2 linked regions of the Mus musculus genome follow. The protein of the gene in region 2 interacts with the protein of the main gene of each other region in a pairwise test. Links are inferred from orthologs where the notes say so. Each region holds a gene or a part of one and is shown on either strand. Other genes may lie near its edges. The genes, in order: Numa1 and Brap.

Region 1 (3,814 bases), on a different chromosome or scaffold from region 2:
GCAGCAACAGAAGCTAAAGGTGGGGCAGATGTGTGACAGGGTGGAGGACCATCTTCTCTAAGCCCTTGGGCCATGTTAGTTTGGGGCCAGAGCAGGAGCCTGGGGCTTGGGGGGGGGGGGGTTAGTTGCCCAAGAAACTATCCTGGGCCTCAGAAACATTGACTTTGTCTTCAGGAATCTCTCACAGAAAAGCCTTCTATTACAGCCACTATCCTTTTTAGTTTAAAAAAAAAAAAAAAAAAATCAAGGCATAGGTATAGTTCAGTGGTAGAGCACTAGTTCCTAGGTTCAGTTTCCAGTCCAGCACCTCAAAATGGGCGGGGGGTGGGGGGGGGCTTTTTTGTTTGTTTGTTTTTTTCGAGACAGGGTTTCTCCGTGTAGCTCTGGCTGTCCTGGAACTCACTTTGTAGACCAGGCTGGCCTCGAACTCAGAAATCTGCCTGCCTCTGCCTCCCGAGTGCTGGGGTTAAAGGCGTGCTCCACCACGCCTGGCTTGACATTTTTGTAGTTCTTGATTTACCCTAGTCACATTTTCCCAGTCAGTAGGTGAATGGCTAATGACAAGACAGAATAGGACCAATTCCTCCATCCCAGAAAGTTCTGTGGAAAAAAACTTTCCCCACCTTGGTAAGGGAGATAGGGTCTAATTATGCAGCCCAGAGCACTGGGATTACTTGGCATGTGCCATAATGACCAGCACTTAACACTTTTAATGCTTCTAATCTTGTTACCATCTTTGTTCCAGTGTTTGCTTTTTGTAGCTCTAAGCTTCCCATCCCTTAGTTAAGGGCAAAGGATCAGGGACTAGTTCCACTGGGACTGTGTAGCACATAGTGGGTCCCAGGTAGTGGATCTCTGAGCTTCCTTGCCCATGGACTGTTGAACAACAGTGAACAGTAAGTAGGTCCATCATGCTCCTTTTGAGGGTGGTTATGAGCTAGCAGATGTAGGAGAGTGTAGGTGGGATGCAGCCACCCAGTACCTGTAGTGAACAAAGCTGATACTGCAGGTTAACAGAATTACCTGCGAGCCTGCTCTTGAGGAGTTATGGTCCCCTTAGGAGGCAATGCTGGCATCGTAAGTGAACCAGCATCCACAGTTGTGGATTAGGTGGATGACCTTGGTCAGTTTGTCTAAATCTCTGATCTCTTTTTTCCTCTCTAAAACAAGGATAAAAGTTATTTCTTGGAGTGGTTTGGAGAAGTGAGTTCCTGACATTGACATGCATATGCAGTTGTCTCCCACTGTGCTCTCTATACCACGGTATTCTCTGAAGATCAGATTCTGTTCCCTTGGGAGAGATACTTGGTGCTTGGCCTCATATATGGCAGCAGAACTGTGAGACACATTAGAGCCAGCAGATGGTCTGGGAGGGAGAATGTAATTGTTTTGTAGGCTGCAGTTGGAGGGAATGTGTGTATTGGGCCAAGGTGTCCTAAGAGTCCTGAGACTATATTAGAGGAGTCTGCAGTACCTGTGGAGACTGAGCAGCAAGGGTAGGCCAGTGGGTTTGGGTAGAGTAATCAGAATTTCCTTGTTTTGATTGACTTCTCAGGCTTTCCAGGCCCAGAGAGGTGAAAGCCAGCAAGAGGTCCAGCGCCTCCAGACCCAGCTGAACGAGCTGCAGGCCCAGCTGAGCCAGAAGGAGCAGGCAGCTGAGCATTACAAGCTCCAGGTGAGGGGCCAGGAACGTCCTGCTCTGCCTTTCTTCCTGACCCTTTCTAGGCTCTGCCACACACACCCTGTCTGTCCACACAGATGGAGAAAGCCAAGACCCATTATGATGCCAAGAAGCAGCAGAACCAAAAGCTGCAGGAACAGCTTCAAGACTTGGAGGAACTGCAGAAGGAGAACAAGGAGCTGCGGTCTGAAGCTGAACGTCTGGGCCGTGAGCTGCAGCAGGCAGGGCTGAAGACCAAGGAAGCTGAACAGACCTGCCGTCACCTTACAGCCCAGGTGCGCAGCCTGGAGGCCCAGGTAAGAACCTACTTTAAACAGAAGCACCTCACCCCTGTACTGTTGTACTCCATATCTCCTCTCCAAGGCCACCCCTACTCTAGGCTTTTTATTTTACTTCCTAGGTTGCCCATGCAGACCAGCAGCTTCGTGACTTGGGCAAATTCCAGGTGGCAACTGATGCCTTAAAGAGCCGTGAGCCTCAAGTGAAACCCCAGCTGGACTTAAGTATTGACAGCCTGGATCTGAGTTTGGAGGAGGGAACCCCATGCAGTGTGGCTAGGTTAGGAGACATGCCTCTCTATCCTGTGCCTGTTCACTGAGTGTGCGCTGTTCTAGCCTGTGGTTCTTCTACGACAGATGCCTGCTTAGGGTACAGTAGAAGTGAAAAAGAGGTGAGGTGGGGCAGTTAGGAAAGCCTTGGGGGAAGCTTTTCTGAGTTTTGATAAACTGTACAGCTATGCAGAGGTGGATGAGCAGCCTTTAATGCGAGGCCAAGTAGGCCTGCGAGCCTAGAGGCTGACTGCACTAAAGACTGATAAACTTCAGAAGTGCTGAAATTGAGGACTACAGGTTGGATTTGCATCTTAGTTTCCTGACAGTATTGAAGTCAAAGGTTAGCAGTACAGTTACTGTTTCTATCAAATGTGTACTGTACTGTGTGCCAGTGTTCCCAGTTCTTGGAACAATTACAACTTCAGCTTTCTCCTAGCAACCATTTTAGGCTCTATTCATTATCTCTCCTTAAACAGATAGAATTGGGCTTTTGGGGGATCCACAGTGATAGAGCCAGGTCTGAGCCTGGCAGCCTGTCCTGAGTTCTTGCTTATCACTACTTTATAGTGTCTCATGGCAGTCTAGGTCTAGGTGAGATGAACTGAGGCTGAGGGAAGGGAGTGTGCAGCTAGGAGAGCTTCTTGGATGTTGACCATGGTTGTGTATGGTAGAAGATGTCCAATTACACCCATGTTCATGTGAAGGTGTCCCTACTTAGTAAAGTAGGAGATAGAGGAGGAAGAACATGCAGAGGGGTTTAGGGTAGGCCCCATTAATTGTCGAGCAGTTGTGGCATCTGCTGGGGGGGAGGTCTGGGCCCATAGCTGTCTGACCTGAAGAGCAGGGTTTGGGCTAAGGTAGAGAGATCTGAGAGCTGCTATAGGAAAGGGTTAGGAGCAGCCAAGAGTGGACTGTCAAGGCCCCCTTTTGCTATCTCTGAAAGACCAGTGGTACTGTATTTTACCACATTTACCTGTAATAAGATTAAGTCAGTTTGGGGCAAGGAGACAGACATAATGTCTTCTAGCTCAGGGTCTGCATCTCGGCAAATGTCTTTTGCTACAGCAAGCTGCCTCGTACCCAACCAGATGGTACCAGTGTCCCTGGAGAGCCAGCTTCACCTATCTCCCAGCGCCTGCCCCCCAAAGTGGAATCCCTGGAGAGCCTCTACTTCACCCCCACTCCTGCTCGGGGTCAGGCCCCCTTGGAGACTAGCCTTGACTCTCTGGGGGATGCCTTCCCTGACTCCGGCCGTAAGACCCGCTCTGCTCGCCGCCGTACCACACAAATCATCAACATCACTATGACCAAGGTTAGGTTATTGGGCATAGGACTATTGGATATTAACACCAGTTCCTTATCCAGGGCTCATAAATCAGGAACACTCAGGTATGAACAACATCTTTTAAAAGGGCATAGATTTGTTTATGGTCTCTTTTCTTCTTAGATTGATTTTATATATACAATTGCTCAGTTTTCATGCACATCAGAAGACTGAGTCAGATCCTATTACAGATGGTTGTGAGCCACCATGTGGTTGCTAGGAATTGAACTCAGCCAGAGTCCTCTCTCCTGTCTGACG
Region 2 (3,814 bases):
ACATATGTGAACTTAAAATTCACTGCCCCTTCAGTCAAACTACATCAGGATTGACCGCCCTTCTCGGGGCTGAGTTTAACCAATAGGCTTATGTGAAGAAAGCATAAATAAGCAAAAATCCAAAGTGCAGGTCTGGAGAGATGGCTCAGCAATCAAGAGTGCTGGCTGCTCTTGGAGGGGATCTTAGTTCAGTCTCTGACCAACCAGTTGGCAGTCATAACTGTAACCACACTTGATGGGGATCAGACGCCCTCTTCTGGCCTCCTCAGGCACTGCATGCATGTGGTACACACACATACAGGCAAAACACCCTCACACATAAAATAAAAATTAATGTAAATCTGTGAGCTTACATTACTGGAATGGAAGAAGAAACTGTTGTACTGTGGCTTTGAGATTGAGGGCCTGAGAAGGAGAGGCAGGAAGGATGCTTTGGTGGAACAGCCTTGATGGAAGAGAAAACAGTTTTGTTTTTGAGGAAGCTGTCCCCATCCCCTAAGCAGCTCGTCAGCATGAGTAGTGCTGGAGCAGGCGGCCTTCCTGTGTTTGGTCTGACGCCCCTGCCGGGACAAACTGAGTTTAGCACTGGAGTCGTCTTGTTGCTTTACACTAAGCCTGATCTGGTGTTGTTTTGCGTTACCTTCTCCACGTCTATTACAATTTATGCCACCATGAAAGAGCAGCTCAGTGTTGAAGGCTGGTTAGTCTGGGTTGTGAACTGCCACATGCGGAACTGAGCCCTGGATCTTTGTGAGAGCAGGCAGTGCTCTCTCACAGCCCCAGGCTAGGACACCTTGATCTGCACGAGGCATCCTGACAGGTGATTGGTGTGGAGTGCTTCCTCAGTCAACTGAAGATGAGCTGGCTTTTCATCCGTACTGCTCCTTATTCTTTAACAAGATGATAAGTTTGGGTTTTGTTGGTTTTTTTTTTGTTTTTTTTTTTTTTGTTTTTTTTTTGAGACAGGATTTCTCTGTGTTATCCTGGATGTCTTGGAACTCACTCTGTAGACCAGAATGATCTTGAACTCAGAGATCTGCCTGCCTCTGCCTCCCAAGTGCTGGGATTAAAGGCCTGTAGAAGGGTGCCCAACTTTTTTTCCTTTCTTTTTTTTTTTTTTCCTCAAATGAATGATGGTTCTTTAAGGGCATCATGTATGTATGTGTGTATGTATGTATGCTTGTATGTATTTATTTATTAGATGTATGTGAGTACACTGTAGTTGTCTTCAGGCACACTAGAAGAGGGCATCAGACCCCATTTCAGATGGTTCTGAGCCACCATGTGGTTGCTGGGAATTGAACTCAGGACCTCTGGAAGAGCAGTCAATGCTCTTAACCATCTCTTCACCCCTAGTCTTCGTCCCCTACTCCATTTTTTCCAATTTTTGTGTGACAGTTACAATTTAGTTCCAGAATTTTAAGAAGTATGTGTCTTCTTCCAAGTGCCTCAAAAATAATGACTACTGGGGAAAGAACTGTCCAGAAACTTGTAGACAGATGGCAGGTTGAATGTTCTCTGCTCAGCACATGGCACTACCTTCTGCCTTGTAAGGCAAACCTCTCAACAGCCTGGACACCGAGCTGCAGAGCTCTGTTGACTTGATGGCTCCAGAGCTTGCTGCTTCTATTGCAAATGTGTGGGGATGTGGGAATGGAGAGTGCATCTTCCATGACCAGCCTTTATTTTCCCCTCTCCCTATGGTATGCACAGGCTGATGCAGACAGTTTCTACATGGCGTGCAATGGCCGCCAGTTCAACTCAATCGAAGATGACGTCTGCCAGCTGGTCTATGTGGAAAGGGCTGAAGTGCTGAAATCTGAAGATGTAAGTGTGAAGTCTTCTTACATCTGATGAAATGTTGATCCGTACAGAATTGAATGTTAAGATGCTTGCCAAACATCAGGAATAGGCCTTCCTGTAAAGACTGAGAGTAGAAACAAGATGGGCTCTGGGGTCTGGGAGAAAAGGGGAGTGGGAGGGGCCAGCAAACAGATGTAGAGGTTCTTCTGGGCTAATGGATTGTTGACGGATGGTGGTGCGGGATGTAGGATGAATGGAGTAGTTAGCGTGGACATACTAAAATCCACCCAGTTTAAAATGGAGAGTCTTAGCACTGAATAGGGAGGGGCATGAATTCACAGGTGGTTTGGCAAGGTCAAAGCTAACACTGCAAGGTCCTTCTTAAAAAACAAACATACGAAAAAATGTTATATCTCAGTTTTTAAAGATTTATTTATTATTTATTTTATGTATATGAGTACATTGTAGCTATCTTCAGACACACCAGAAGAAGGTGTCAGATCTCATTACAGATGGTTGTGAGCCATCATGTGGTTGCTGGAAATTGAATCAGGTCCTCTGAAAGAGCAGTCAATGCTCTTAACCACTCAGACATCTTTCCTGCCCATTATATCTCTCATCTTTAAGATGTAGAAAACAGGTTTGGTAGCACATGCATGTGACCCTAGCACTCAGGAAGCAGAGGTAAGAGACTATTGAGTTGGAGGCCAACCTAGGCTATATAATAAGGTCCTGTCCCCAAATCAAAGAAAAGATTTCTGCCCTGTTAAAACTATCCCAGAACGATGGAGTACAGTTTGGAGCAGAAAGAAGCATATTTGTTCAAACTATTAACCCCAATCTCCATCCTAGCTTTTTGTTTTAGGGTTTCTCTGTGTAGCCCTGGCTGTCCTGAATCTTGCTGTGTAGACCATGCTAACCTTGAACTCACAGAAATTCATCTGCCTCTGCCTCCCTGGTACTAGTATTAAAGGCCTGTGCTACCATGCTTAGTTTTTTGTTTTGTTTGTTTAAGGCAGGCTGTCCTAGAACTCACTATGTAGAGTAGGATGGCCTCGAACTCATAGAGATCCTCCTGTCTCTGTCTCCTGAGTGCTAAGGTTCAGTCTTGCTGACTACATGTTCTGGCTCTCATCTGCAGCAGGGCAGCTCCCTCGGAGCCTGGCCTGTACTACTGGCTCACTAGGCCATTTATAGTAAATAGCAGACTTGGCTCTGGAGGCCAGAGAGCCTCCATGATGCTGTAAGATTCTCTTCCTTTTCAAGGAGATCTTAATAGCCAGGCTTTCTCACGATTTTAATCCTAGTATTTGAGGCAGAGGAAGGCAGATCTCTGAGTTTGAGTCCAATATCTCCTCTACAAATAGAGTTCCAGAACTGTCAGGGTTTCACACTCAGCAGATAAAGGTATTTCCTGCCACAGAGCCTGTGAACTGAGTTCAGTGCAGGGAACCCATGTGGGTAAAGGAGAGAACTAACTTGTGAACGTTGTTCTTGGGCTTCCACATGTGTGTAATACATGTACACACACACACACGTGCACACATATATTCTAAATATAATGTAACTTATTTTTTAATTAACTATTTTGTTTTTTTTTTTTTTCAAGACAGGGTTTCTCTGTGTATCCCTGGCTGTCCCGGAACTCCCTCTGTAGACCAGGCTAGTCTCGAACTCACAGAGATCAGCCTGCTTCTGCCTCCTGGGTGCTGGGATTAAAGGCATGTGCCACCACTCCCCAGCCCATAAAAATGTAATTAAAAAAAATTTAAAATAGACCCTAAACTAGACCCAGAAGCTGGCCGTAGTGATGTAGGCCTGGAATTTGAGCATTCAGGAGGTAGAGTCCAGAGGCTGAAGAGATGGCTTAGCACTTAAGCTGCTTCCTGCTCTTGTGGGGGACACAGGTTCAGGTTTTCAGCTCCCTATATGGCAGCTCACATTGCCCTGTGACTCAAGTTCCAGAGGATCCAGTGTCATCTTCTGATACTTACTGGCTCATGCATGCATC

The links.
Region 1: the proteins of Brap (region 2) and Numa1 interact in a two-hybrid assay, tested with the Homo sapiens proteins (2 studies listed by BioGRID and IntAct). The link is inferred for Mus musculus from reciprocal best matches to the Homo sapiens genes BRAP and NUMA1.

What each region holds. Positions count from the first base shown.
Region 1 is NC_000073.6:102,007,536-102,011,349, forward strand, and holds part of Numa1 (nuclear mitotic apparatus protein 1), read left to right. Parts: coding exon 1-19; intron 20-1,555; coding exon 1,556-1,675; intron 1,676-1,758; coding exon 1,759-1,977; intron 1,978-2,081; coding exon 2,082-2,239; intron 2,240-3,297; coding exon 3,298-3,544; intron 3,545-3,814. UniProt on the Homo sapiens protein: Microtubule (MT)-binding protein that plays a role in the formation and maintenance of the spindle poles and the alignement and the segregation of chromosomes during mitotic cell division.
Region 2 is NC_000071.6:121,670,372-121,674,185, forward strand, and holds part of Brap (BRCA1-associated protein), read left to right. Parts: intron 1-1,713; coding exon 1,714-1,827; intron 1,828-3,814. UniProt on the Homo sapiens protein: Negatively regulates MAP kinase activation by limiting the formation of Raf/MEK complexes probably by inactivation of the KSR1 scaffold protein.